3 linked regions of the Ovis aries genome follow. The protein of the gene in region 3 interacts with the protein of the main gene of each other region in a biochemical or structural test. Links are inferred from orthologs where the notes say so. Each region holds a gene or a part of one and is shown on either strand. Other genes may lie near its edges.

Evidence for each region.
Region 1: the proteins of DAXX (region 3) and RASSF1 form a complex in vitro, tested with the Homo sapiens proteins (4 studies listed by BioGRID and IntAct, with this or other methods). The link is inferred for Ovis aries from reciprocal best matches to the Homo sapiens genes DAXX and RASSF1.
Region 2: the proteins of DAXX (region 3) and PML form a complex in vitro, tested with the Homo sapiens proteins (2 studies listed by BioGRID, with this or other methods). The link is inferred for Ovis aries from reciprocal best matches to the Homo sapiens genes DAXX and PML.

Annotation. Positions count from the first base shown.
Region 1 is NC_056072.1:50,057,940-50,061,990, reverse strand, and holds the start of RASSF1 (ras association domain-containing protein 1), read right to left. Parts: upstream 2,810-4,051; 5' UTR 2,778-2,809; coding exon 2,528-2,777; intron 596-2,527; coding exon 489-595; intron 1-488. Other genes in the region: ZMYND10 (zinc finger MYND domain-containing protein 10), read right to left, coding at 3,413-3,488, 3,569-3,694, 3,812-3,933, 4,019-4,051. UniProt on the Homo sapiens protein: Potential tumor suppressor. Required for death receptor-dependent apoptosis. Mediates activation of STK3/MST2 and STK4/MST1 during Fas-induced apoptosis by preventing their dephosphorylation.
Region 2 is NC_056071.1:32,241,787-32,245,372, forward strand, and holds part of PML (protein PML), read right to left. Parts: coding exon 3,493-3,586; intron 3,082-3,492; coding exon 2,832-3,081; intron 1,517-2,831; coding exon 1,464-1,516; intron 792-1,463; coding exon of another isoform or gene 54-791; exon of another isoform or gene 1-53.
Region 3 is NC_056073.1:7,643,052-7,647,253, forward strand, and holds the start of DAXX (death domain-associated protein 6), read right to left. Parts: upstream 2,821-4,202; 5' UTR 2,578-2,820; intron 2,348-2,577; exon of another isoform or gene 2,033-2,347; intron 2,002-2,032; exon of another isoform or gene 1,876-2,001; intron 1,042-1,875; exon of another isoform or gene 1,039-1,041; 5' UTR 990-1,038; coding exon 783-989; intron 634-782; coding exon 1-633. UniProt on the Homo sapiens protein: Transcription corepressor known to repress transcriptional potential of several sumoylated transcription factors. Down-regulates basal and activated transcription.

The sequences.
Region 1 (4,051 bases), on a different chromosome or scaffold from region 3:
GTGCGCAGGAACCAGTGTCCGAGCCGCAACCGTTAACACTGAAACGTAGACAGCCAAGACATAGCTGTCATCTCATTGGAGGAGGGATGTCGAAGGGCGGGGTCACACACGCCTCGCCTCCAAGAATGATCTCAGCCCTGGGGCAGCTCAGTTCAGCGCAGTCTCGCAGGCCCCGCCTCCCAAGGGACACTATGGGGCTTGTGCGCGTGTGCACCAGCGTGGCCTCGAGGCCGGATGCAGCTGCGGGAAGGTGCGGAAGTTGCACTTGCGCGCAGTCTGGGCGGCTCCGGGCGGTTAGGGCCGAGTCAGCACCCCCCGGCACCCCTTGGAGCCCGCGCGCAGAATTAGCCACTCTCTGCCTCCGGGAAGTCGGCTATCAAAACGTTTATTGCGCGTAGCGCCGGGCGGCCCTAGGGAACGCCTCCAATGTGGCCCCGCTCGTCCACGCATCCCTGCGTTGCCCGTAAGCTCCCCGGTCCCGCGCTCACCACATTCGTGTCCCGCTCCAGCGCCGGTTCCCAGCCCAGGTCCCGGGGCCCGCAGCAGTCTAGGGAGACGAGCGCGCGGCAGCGGTAGTGGCAGGTGAACTTGCAATCTGCAGAGAGGCCTGGCCATAAGGTGGAGGAACCCCAGCAACCAGCTCGGAGGAGCGTCCCGGGGACAGAAGCGAAGCCCCGGGATGAAGGCCGTTGCTCGTCGTGTTCTCCATGACTGGCCTTATCTTAGTCCCCGTTAACACCCACTGCCACTCAGATTTTAGAGTCTCCCCTGCCGCCGCGCCTCCCCGTTCTGTCCCCCCCCCCCCCCCCCCCCCCCCCCCCCCCCCCCCGCCCCGGGCCTGGAAACTGGCAGGGAAGACTTCATGCTGTTAGGGATCCAGGCCTGCTCAACAGTTGGATTTCTAGCGCCTAGGGCAGAACTTCCCCTTCCTCATTATCAGCGTCCCTCCCTCCTCCCATTTACTGGAGGGGGAAACAAAAAAACTTTTAACTCAGTGCCTCTTCGTGTCATTTTTCTCTATTCCCCTTACACACAAAACTTACCAACACTGGTCTCTTACTTAATTCCTCGCCTTCATCCTCTACCCATTCCAGTCTTGCTCTCCTCCCTCCAGGGAACTCAGAGACCGAACCGCGGAATGCGGTGGTCCCTTCACCTCTTCAGCATCGTCTGATGCTTGCTCTCCGGATTCCCCGGGGGCCCTCACTACCGCGGTTTTCCTCCCACCTCACTGTAATCCCTGTTCAGGGGGCTTTAGTTCTGTTTCAGCTTCCAGATCTAATGGTGGAGAGTCCGAGGCCCAGTCCTGATCGCTTTTCTTCTCTGTGTACACTGACCTACCTTAGATCCAAGGCTTCCATCTGACCTCCTTGAGATCAAATTCTGTGTCAGTATCTTCATTTGGCTGTCCAATAAACAATTCAACCAGACATGGCCAACATTTAACTCACTTTCCTACTCCTTTTAATTCTTCACTTCTCCTCACCCTTGCCCTTGCCAGAGTTCAACTCAGCAAAAAACAAAAACCAGACCAAACCACCCCAACTCATCCTTGATGCCTCTCTTGTTTCTGCTTCTGACACACACCCAAATTGTCCTGTTTTTCATTCCCATGGCCACTTTATTTCTCCTTGGGAACACTGCTATCTTCCCAGCCCTTGTTCATGCTTTTTGTATGCTGCCACAAGTCCCATACTCGTCCTAGCTGAATAAAGACAAACTCCTGTACTAGATGAGAGGGTCTCCATCACACACAGGCTTGGGACATCTTCCCTAAGTTCCTAAATGGGCCAGAGCAGTGATTCTCCACCCAGGCTACACATTAGAATGACCTGTTTTTAAAAATCGCTGGTACACTCTCAGTGACCTGACTGATTCAACAGGTCTGCAGTAAGATCCAAGGGTAGAGGTTTGGAGGGCTATAAAAGCATCCCAAGTGTTTCTAGATGGTGTATGGCCAGTGAGACAGCAACCTCAGCTTGCTGGTGATTTCTGGGAGGGCAGAAGCACCAACTGGCGTGTGGTTGCGTTTCATGTTTTAGCAGCTGGCTGACTGAACTTCCAATAGGTATTTGCTAAAGACAGACTCAAAACTCCTGCTTGTAGCCCTGTGCCCAAGTTTCTATTTCCAGGCCTTCTCCCATAGGTGGGTAAGTTCCCTTCACCACAGGGATTCTCCTGGGGGACTTGGCAAGTGAATCTTTCCAAAGGGGTAAGTGTAAGAATGTGAGTCCAGAGACTGACAGGAACAAGCCTTTCTCAAGAAGGGCCAAGGCACTGGTTAAACTTGAAAGTAGTACCTTGTTTACAGAGAAGCACGTTTGCCTAACTGTCTCAGAGGCAGGTGGAGCTTGGCAAGGTTATAAACTATCAGCCCGCACTCTCTTGTGCTATGGGGCAAAGGTTACAGACCTGGTCTGTGGGAACTGTCCCCCCTGACCCCCTCCATCGCAACTTGGCCCTCAGCGACGGGGCTGTCCCTTGGCTGCCCGTTTCGCTCCCGCCAGCTCTTGGGTCCGCTACTCACGCGCGCACTGCAGACCCTTGCGCACGACGCCCCAGATGAAGTCGCCACACAGGTCACACCACGTGTGCGTGGCGGGCCCCGCCGGCTGGAAGCGGTGGCCCCGGCCCGGGACCTGCTGCCTTGCGGCGTTGCGAGCTGTGCCCGGCGAGATGCGCAATGCATTGGCACGCTCGAGCCGAGTGCGCCCCGGGGCGGCGCACCGTTCGGGTGCCAGTTCCCGCAATTCAATGAGCTCAGGCTCAGCGGACATGGCCCGGTCGGGCCGGGTCTCCGGCCGGTTCTGGGCGCTAGCGAGCGCGGGGCGGGCGGGGCCGCGGGGCGGGCCCCGATTCGGCGCCGCCTCCAGGATTCAGGCAGAGCGGCGGGAGAGCAGAGGAGAGCCGCGCAATGGAAACCTGGGCGCCCGCGCTGTGTCGGCCCGCAGGCGGAGTGGGACGGCGGGTGCGGCTGGGGGCTGCTCTCTCAGAGTCCCCGCCCTCCGTTTCCTATCCTCCCTTCATCCCGCGAGCCACTCCCCTCCTCTTAACAACCACGACGACCTCAAGGGGCCACGAGGAAACAGGCGTGTTTGTGGAAGCTAGCTTTACTTTACAGTACTAGAGGAAGAGGGTCCCCACATCCGGCCCTTGTCCCCTCCCCCCCGCCCCCCGCCCAGGCCTCCTGCCCCAGCTTGGGGAGGCTGCACCCTAAGCCTTCGCGCCTGATAGAGCAGGAAGTGGGGAGCGCTTAGATGGGGGGAGATGGGTCAACAGCTCTTCCCGCCTGCTATCCTCACCACCCGGGAGGCTGGGGCACTTGCAGAGGCCAGATTGAGATCCAGAGGTTTTGGGGGGACACTTGAGTGGGTTGTAGGCACGGGTGGTTGGCCCTCAGCCGCTGCAGCCTTCACTTGGCTCTGTCCCCCTGGGCTGCCAGGACACAAGCCTTTCCATGCTTCTCCCAGTGCTTGACTTGGCACTCCCTGCAGGCAAATGGGCCGGTGAAGATGCAGTGATCCGAGGGGTATGGGAATGGGGGTCCAAGGTCCTAGGATGCCCTCACCTGCAGCAATACCACTCATTCTGGCACCGGGAGCAACGCTTGGAGGCCTCTGCACTGCAGTAGGCACAGCGGGGCCGCTCTGGAGCCACTGCCTCGAGCACATCCAGCCTGTAGGTCTCAGCCCACCTGGAAAAAGGGTCCGGAAGGACTTGCTGGACCTGTGGGTGGGGGGACAGGGGCAACCCCACCCACATCCACGCCGCTGCCTCCCTTCTCCTCTTCTGCTGGCTTAGCAGGCCTCACCTTCGCGCCTGCAGCCTCAGGTCCTGTTCCGAGGGGCTAAATACATGCCGCAGCTGATGCTTGGCGATAGCCTGCCACTTGCCTTTGTTCTCTCGCTCTAGCCGCTCCCAGATTTCTGGGATCTGGGGAAGAGAAGCAGAGAGTGGCAGGGAGGAAGAGCTGGTCAAGTGAGCAGTGGTCCTGACCAACTAACTTCCAAGAGCCTACCTGTTCCAACACCAGGTCCTTCTTAGGGGGCTG
Region 2 (3,586 bases), on a different chromosome or scaffold from region 3:
GATGCCAACCTGCCAAGCTCCAGGGCTGCAGAGGAGGGAGGCGCTTGGGACACTCAGAGGCTTGTCTGCGGGGTGTCTGTGCTGATGGGTGGCCTCTCCAGAGGGTGGAGTGGTAGGAATGCACTTGGAGAGGCCTCCGGGGGGACCTGGACTGGGGGATTTTCCATGGGGGCCCTGCCAGAATCCCCAGGGGAGACCCCTGCTCCAGGAATTTGGGATGCTCTGCCTCCCCGCATTATTCTCCTATAAAAGGTGTTACGCTGGGAGATCCCAGGGGGGTGAGGAAGGGGAAAGATGTTGAGCCACTGGGACACAGCAGGGAAGGGGTCAAGGGGTCGTGCAGCCAGTTGCACCAGGTGGGGTTGGCCGCTGGCCCTTTGGGGGCAGGTGGGATCCTCCTGGGGATTGGCAGGTTGGCTGGGAGGCCCAGTGGTGGCCGGGGTGGTGGCTTGACCCATGGACGGAGGCCAAGGCCACCTGTGGGCACCATACGTTTTGAGGGGCAGGTGAAAGGTGCTGCGAGGGCGCAGGGCTCTTTGCGCCCCACGTGACAGGAAGCTGATCCCACGGTGGACGGCAGCTTGCTCCTGGTGACCGGCAGGCTGGCTGGGACTCTCAGCGTCGGGGATGGCAGCTTGCTCGGCAGGATGGTGGGGAGGCCAAGCCGAGGGGCGGCATGTGCCATGGGACAGACGAGAGGCCCGGAGGGAGTGGGACGCTCGGCGAGCTCTCGGCGGGGGTTGGATGGATGAGGAAGGAGGCAGGACGGCGGTCTCAGTGGGCTCCGCACGCTTTCCAACACAGAACCTCAGACTGAAGGCTGGCAGGGGCCTCAGGGGCCACCCAGTCCAGCCTTCCACTCTAATTCCGATCCCTTTCACCCCTGGGCAGGTGACAGCCTGGCCTTTATGAACCGCTATGAACAAACCTCCAGGGACAGGAGGGTCACAACCCGTGCGGCCACTTGTCCCACTGTGGGATGGCTTTAAAGGAAGTTCTGCTTACATGGAGTCACAGTGTACTAGTCTGGGGCCTGCGTGGTGCTGCCCTGCACCCTCATACCCCCATGTGGCCCTGCATCACTGCCGTTAACCGGGGAACGGGTGCAGGTCCGCCCCCCTCACTGAGACTTAGGAGGGCAGACAATGCATAAGGAAGCCGCAGACACAGGCATTGGCTAGTCCAGAAAAGATATAGGGCTCTGAAGGGAAGCCCTGTCCAGGCCTTCAGAAAGAGTACGTGTGATTACTGATGGCTCCTACCCTGGTACGATGGGAGGGCTGGGGCGATCCAGGCCACAGCTGGCAATTGGAGACTATCCTCCGGACAGCTCAGGACTCACTGCCTCACTGATAAATCCCCTGGGCGCGAGGTGAGTCTGAGAGTCACCTGCTGGGGCTGTGCCCCTGGGGACCTGGAATGGGGGGAGGCAGTGTCCTGGGTCAGACTTCTGAGCAACTCACCGGGTTTTCAGCATCTGAGTCTTCCGAGCTGCTGATCACCACGACGCGCTCCTCTGAAACGGAGCAGGGGAGACAGGGTTAGGCCCTGCCAGGGCTGCTCGTGGATGGAGCCCAGGGTGTTCTCCTGTGGGAATCCTTGCAGGCCAGTGGGCTGGGTGGGTAACATGTGCCCTGCAAGGGGGCTGTCAACATTCAGCGTGTGTGCCAGCGTGGATCTGCCTGTTTAGTCGCTCAGTTATGTCCGACTCTTTGCAACCCTGTGGACTGTAGCCCGCCAGGCCTCTCTGCCAGTGGAATTCTCCGGGCAAGAATACTGGAGTGGGTTGCTGTGCCTCCCTTCAGGGGACCCCCAATGCAGGGATCGAACCTGCCTCTCTGATGTCTACCTGTGTTGGCAGGCGTGTTCTTTACCACTGGGCCACCTGGGAAGCCAGGATCTGCCTGTACGGAGGGGTTACTCAAGGTGGCTTTCCATCACTGCCTGCTATGCCTTGTCTGTGACGACTTAATTCAGCTACTGGCCCTGGAATGATTCAGAACTGACTACCTGTGGAGGGGGTGTGACAAGCACCACCTGGTTTGGAACCTTTGACCATCCTAAAGCAGCACACTGGTTGTTCCAATTCTCAGCTCTGTGAGCTGAGATGTTTGAGTTAAAAGATACTTTAGGTTTACAAAACCTGATTACCAATAGCATTTGTGAGCGAGGATTCTCCATTGGGGCTGAGTGTATGGCCAGGGTCAGGGTTCAGTGTGACCGGGGACAGGGGTCAGTGTGGGACCTAGAATGAAAACAATGCTGGACACTGGGTAAAAGAGCTCCAGGAAGAACAGTCTTGAACATTCCAGGATTCTGGGGGTTGACCTCCACTCACATGAAAGGACTCCCTGTCTGGCAGTGGCCATAAAAGATACCTTGAGCAAGCGAGATACCTTAGGTGGATGGCCTTCGTAAAAAAAATTTGGGAACCGACGGGTGTGGACTTTACCCAAGTCTTCTCTGAGCATGTGCTAGACACCCACCAACAAACATTGTTTGGGGAGACCCATCCTGTGCAGAGGCATGGTACTGGGTTCAAAAAGGGTGTGTCAGGGGAAGGAGCTAAGGAAATGTGTTCCCCAGGCTATCATGCTCCCTATATGGGCATCCCAGAAAAGCATGGGCTAAACCATCCGCGCTAGCCCCCCCCAGACAAACCCTGGGCTTGCCCTTCCCCATTTGGTGGCAGCTGAGGGCAAGACACACAGGGAATGCTGCTTGCCTTGGGCTTCCTGGGAAGGGCGTGAGGATGCAGAGGAGGGGTCCCACCCAGCCCCTGGAAGACAGCATGCAGGCCTCAGCCCATCCTGCCCATCCCCACTCCCTACCTGTCTCTGCAGGGTCGCCGGTTTGATGGTTGCTTTCAGGCAAGGGGAGCTCATCTCTTATGATGGGGCTCTTGGGGCTGGAGGGCCCATCCAGGTGGGGTGGCGAGACTGCCCTGGAGGTGCTGGGCCTGGGCTGCTCAGGGGAGCTCTGAGCCAACCTAGACTCTTCCCCCTCCTCAGACTCCATCTTGATGACCTTCCGGGGGCACTCGGTCTGGCAGGCCTTCCTCTTCTGCGTGTGGGTGCCCTCCTGTGCAGTGGGGTGTCACAGGGCAGGGTCAGGAGCCTCCAAGGGGACTGGGGCCGTGGGCAGAGACCCAGACCTGAGTGGCAGGAATCTGTTCCCCGCCCCATGCCCTTTGCTCCTCCTGTCCCCTTTGCTATCTGCCGTGCGGATCACACCTCTCTACACAGAGGTCCTCCCAAGTCAGCAGGCACACTGGCCCTGCTGGTGACCACTGACCACCAATCTCTGCTGGCTTCTGACTGCCCTGGGAGGGGCTCCTGCTTGGAGGGAAGCTTCCTAACACGGCAACCAAGAGCTGGGAGAGTGCAGAGTCAGTGCCTATTGAGGTCTGGGTTCTCACTTCCATTCCACCTCTTACCACCTAGTGGGATCCGGGCCCTGGGAAGGGGAGGGGAGGGCTGGGGAATATCTTACTTCTCTGCGGGAGGGGTCTTGGATGGAGAAGGCGTACACTGGCACAGGGTGTGCCCCTGGCACCGGCTGTACCACGGCCAATCCCGCGGCTTGC
Region 3 (4,202 bases):
ATCAGGCCCTGGCTTGTTGATGAGCCGCTCAATGCGCCTGTTGACCTCTGGGTAACGGGTACCACGGTAGGGGATGCGCTGCTCTATGACCCGGCCTGTCAGTGAAGAGCAGTCTTTCAGCTCACACAGCCGCCCAAAGAGACGGATCAGCTTACGCTTCAACCTTGCTTCCTGCAGGTAAGTGGAGTCTGGGTCATCCAATTCTGAGAGATCCAACTCCTTTTCTTGCAGCCGCCGGATCTCTGCCACATACAGTGCCAGCAGCTGCTCCAAGCGCTGGATCTGCCGCCGGGAACCACGGGTCCTTGGGGCCTCAGAGCCAGTGGTCTCAGCATTTGGGTCCGAGGAGGGGTCTGTGGGAGGGTTATTCCCAGAGGGTTCACTAGAGGTGGTGGCAGCAGGGGCCAGGTTCAGCTTCTTCTTGGCTGAGTGGGCCTTGAGAACCGTGCAGAGCTCGTTAATGTAGACATAGAGCTTAGCTGGCCGGTTCTGGGCCCGAGAGAGGACCCGAGACAGGATGTTGCAGAACTCCGCCGAGGCCAAAAACAGAGGGTGGGCCCGCTGCTGCCGGTTATAGAGGAACGGGACCACCTCAGGGTGGTCCGCCGTCTGCGTCTTACACAGTGCAAGGAACTGGAAGGTTCACGGGGGAAAAGGGAGGAGAAAAAGACAAAAGGATAGGGTTGAGAGAAAGGTGAGGTGGGGTTAGTGGGGGAGAAAGGACAGAGCCAAGCAGCCATCCCCCTCCCTGGGGCACGACAGTCTTCTCCCCTAAAGCTCACCTCTTCAAACAGCTTCTCATTCTCCAACTTGTAGCATTTCTTGCCGCCCGAACTACTGCTTCCTCCAGCCCCATGGGGCTGAGAGGAGCCAGGGGCTTCTGCCCTGGGTGAGGCCGGATTAGGGGGTGGGTGGGAGGGCCCTGGCTGAGCAGCTGCTTCATCTTCATCATCATCATCCAGCACGATGATGCTGTTAGCGGTAGCCATAGGGGATCAAATCCCCCGGAGGGAGGAAGTGTTGGGGATTTCGTAATTCCTGCTGGAAGGGGATGGGGCCTCAGACAGAGCCCCTCCAGCACCGCCCCATCCCTTCATCTCACACGTTTTCCAGTCTTGGGTTTCAAAAGCACCCAGCCATGCCCAACAGTGTCCTCATTTCCTAGCTTCAGCAAGCATTAGTACTGTACGTTTTTCCGGCCCTTTACTAGGGGAGTTCCAAACCTTCTGAAAACCTGAAGTCCCACCTCCAGCTCCACCCCCCACGCATGTATCCGGTCTTTCAGTCTCGTTTTCCCCACTATTTCTCAGAGTTGCCAAGTTGAGTCTTCCTCTCAACCCCTGGACGACCTCTCTCGCTGCACTACAGATTTCCTTGACATTCTCTCGAACAGACACCACAGCCCCGCTGGCACCACCGTTTTCCCTGTTCGCTCTCTCTCACACATATCAAATCTATACTCTCACCCCATTCTGAAAGATAACCCCAACTCGGAGACCCCTTGAGAAGGAGGTTCCCTCCCAACAATCCATTCCCTTTTCTCCTACTTAAATTATCTCTATATTCCACCCTCTGATGGGTCTCCTCAAACCGAAGCGCTAGGTTGAAGATATTTCACCCCAAGTCCCCTCCTTCTCACCCCACCCTAATTTCCCCCATTCTCTCTCAGTGACCTGTAACCAATCGTGAGCTCCACGCTGGGCTCTCCCGATTTCTCTCAGATCCCAGCCCTGAGTCCAGTCCTTCCCCTAAATGAGCTTCCCGCCAAGTCCCCCTCCCCCAGTTCAGCCCCTGGCCGCCCCACTCCCCTTCAGGGATAGGAAGGAGGATCCCACAGCCTGCCCCTCAGACTCCGCGCCGGGGACTCCCCAGTACCTCTCCCTCGACAGTCCTGCCCCCGCCTTCGCTCCCCACACCGTCCGGCCCCCACCTCAGAAACGGTCTCTCGAGGCGACCCTCTCCGCGGATCTCAGAACCTCGCATGGTTCCCTCCGTCTTCCTTCCCCCTCCCACCGCAGGCCCCACTTCTTACCGGAAGCCGCGGAGCTTCCGCCCACACGCTCTGGGCGCGGCCATATTGTCGCACGGAATCCTGTGCCGCCGGCAGGCAGGCAGGCAGGCAGGGAGGGAGGGCCGCCCCTCCTAGAGCCTCCCCTGCCGCCCACCTCGTCTGCGGCTCCTTTCACCCTGACCTGCAGGGGGCGGATTTGTCGCCTCCGGGCGTCCTGAATACCTGGGGGCCGCCATCTTGGCGTACGGCTCTGGCTGCGCCGGGAGCGGGGCCCGCCGTCAGTGGAGCTCTTTTCACCCGGTGCTTCCGCGACTCCGCCAATCAGAAACTTCCCGCATCCCGGCCCAACCACCGCTAGTCGCGTGCGGGGAGGACTGATCCACCTTTCTACGTGGGGGGGCGGGGGGCCGGGTCGGGGGAGGAAATAACGGAACAGCGCGGGGTGAGGAATTGGGCCCTCCAAGGCTGAACAGGGAGGCACGGAAAGGCAGGAGTGTCTTAAAAGGGAAATGAAACCTTTCCTAGCCGCTGGGCTTTTGACAAGCCTTGTGGCGCTACTTTCCTACCTGCCAGGTCCCGGTTTCCGCGGCTCAGTCGACTGTACCTGTCATTTCTTTCTGTGGTCTGCGCGCTCCCTTGCAGCTGCCCAGAAGCTACTTCTACATCCAGGTGCCTACATCTCCCAATCATGAAGTCGTAACACACGCATACAAACGAGCACAACACGCTATACAAATGTGTTCTTATTATTGCGATTGTTGGCGTGCTTTCCAAGCTCCACCACAGAAGTAATGACCAACCAAGTAGGTGGGACCTAGTTGGTTCTCCGCCGTTTTCTGGAGGGGGTTCCCGAGGCGCAGGCGCTGATGACAAGGAGGCTGTGCTTTGTCCAGGACCTCTAGGGCCTGAGGACAGGCAATGTGGGGAGGGGGCTCTGAGCAGAATCTGTAAGAGCTGTGAGAAGAAACGAGGCTCGAGGCTCGTAAAATACCTTGAGTCTCGTCTCCTCCTCTTCCTCTGGGAGAGCTGACGAAGGAAGAGAGAAGAAACCAACATTGGCGCCCGCCTCGCCCACACCCTCACCCTAAACCAACTTTACGGAAACTGGAGGGGCTCGAAGAGGCAAAGCTGGGCCCAGAGGTGAACTTCTGAGGAAACCGGAAAGGTTAACATGGTTCCAATCTCTCAGTTTCCCGCATCCTGGAGAATTCCACAGAGGGTGAGCATCTTGCCACTTTCTAGGACCACAGTCTCTTACATCCCCAAGCCCTCAGGAGTTCCAAACCCTCAAACCCTCACTCCCATTAAAGAATCCTACACCACTTCTCTCCAGTCGTCTAAGCCTGTAGTCTTAAATTGGGGAACACGGAGACTCGCCTAAGGATACTTGGATTTGGGACATATAAAGGATTAATTTCCAGAGTCTCAGTTTTCCCAAAATTTGTTTTCCTGAATAAATGCTTGCACTAGAGCTTCTCCTTCCTTTTCTCTTTTACAATAGACTTTCTCCCTCTCTATTTAAAAAGGAAAAAAAGAAAAAAGGTATAGTTCTTAACCATGAAATCTAGGGATAACTTTACCTTGTTTTACCTTGGTTGTTTTTTGTTTGTTTTGGGCCACGCCCTGAATCTTGCAGGGATCTTAGTTTCCCAACCAGGGATGGAACTGGCCCCCAGCGCAAGCAATGAAAGCACCAAGTCCTAACTGATGGACCATCAGGGATTTCCCTTACCTTGTCTTAAATAGAAATGTAACAATATTGCAATGTAATTATCCTCTAATTTAAAAAAATGACATGTAGCCTATTTCTTTTAAGGCATCATAAACACCATCTCGTCTATCTCATTTTACATGTACTTTTAAGTTATGAAAATGTGTACAATCTTTATGCTATTTTATCACTTCTGCTCTCATAATAATTGTAATGATAACCCAGAAGAAATATTTCTAAAAACCTAGAGTTTTATGGTCACAAGAAAGAATAATATTTTTCATCTCAATTATGATATGTATGTGTAAGAAAGCGTGATAGGGGACTTCCCTGGTCATCCAGTGGTTAAGACTCTGTGCTTCCATTGCAAGGGACCGGCCTTAGATCCCTGATAGAGGAACTCACATTCCCCCATGGGTGCAACCAAAGAAAAAAGATATTTTAAAGTGTGATAAACTGGTCAATAAAAGACTTTTAAGT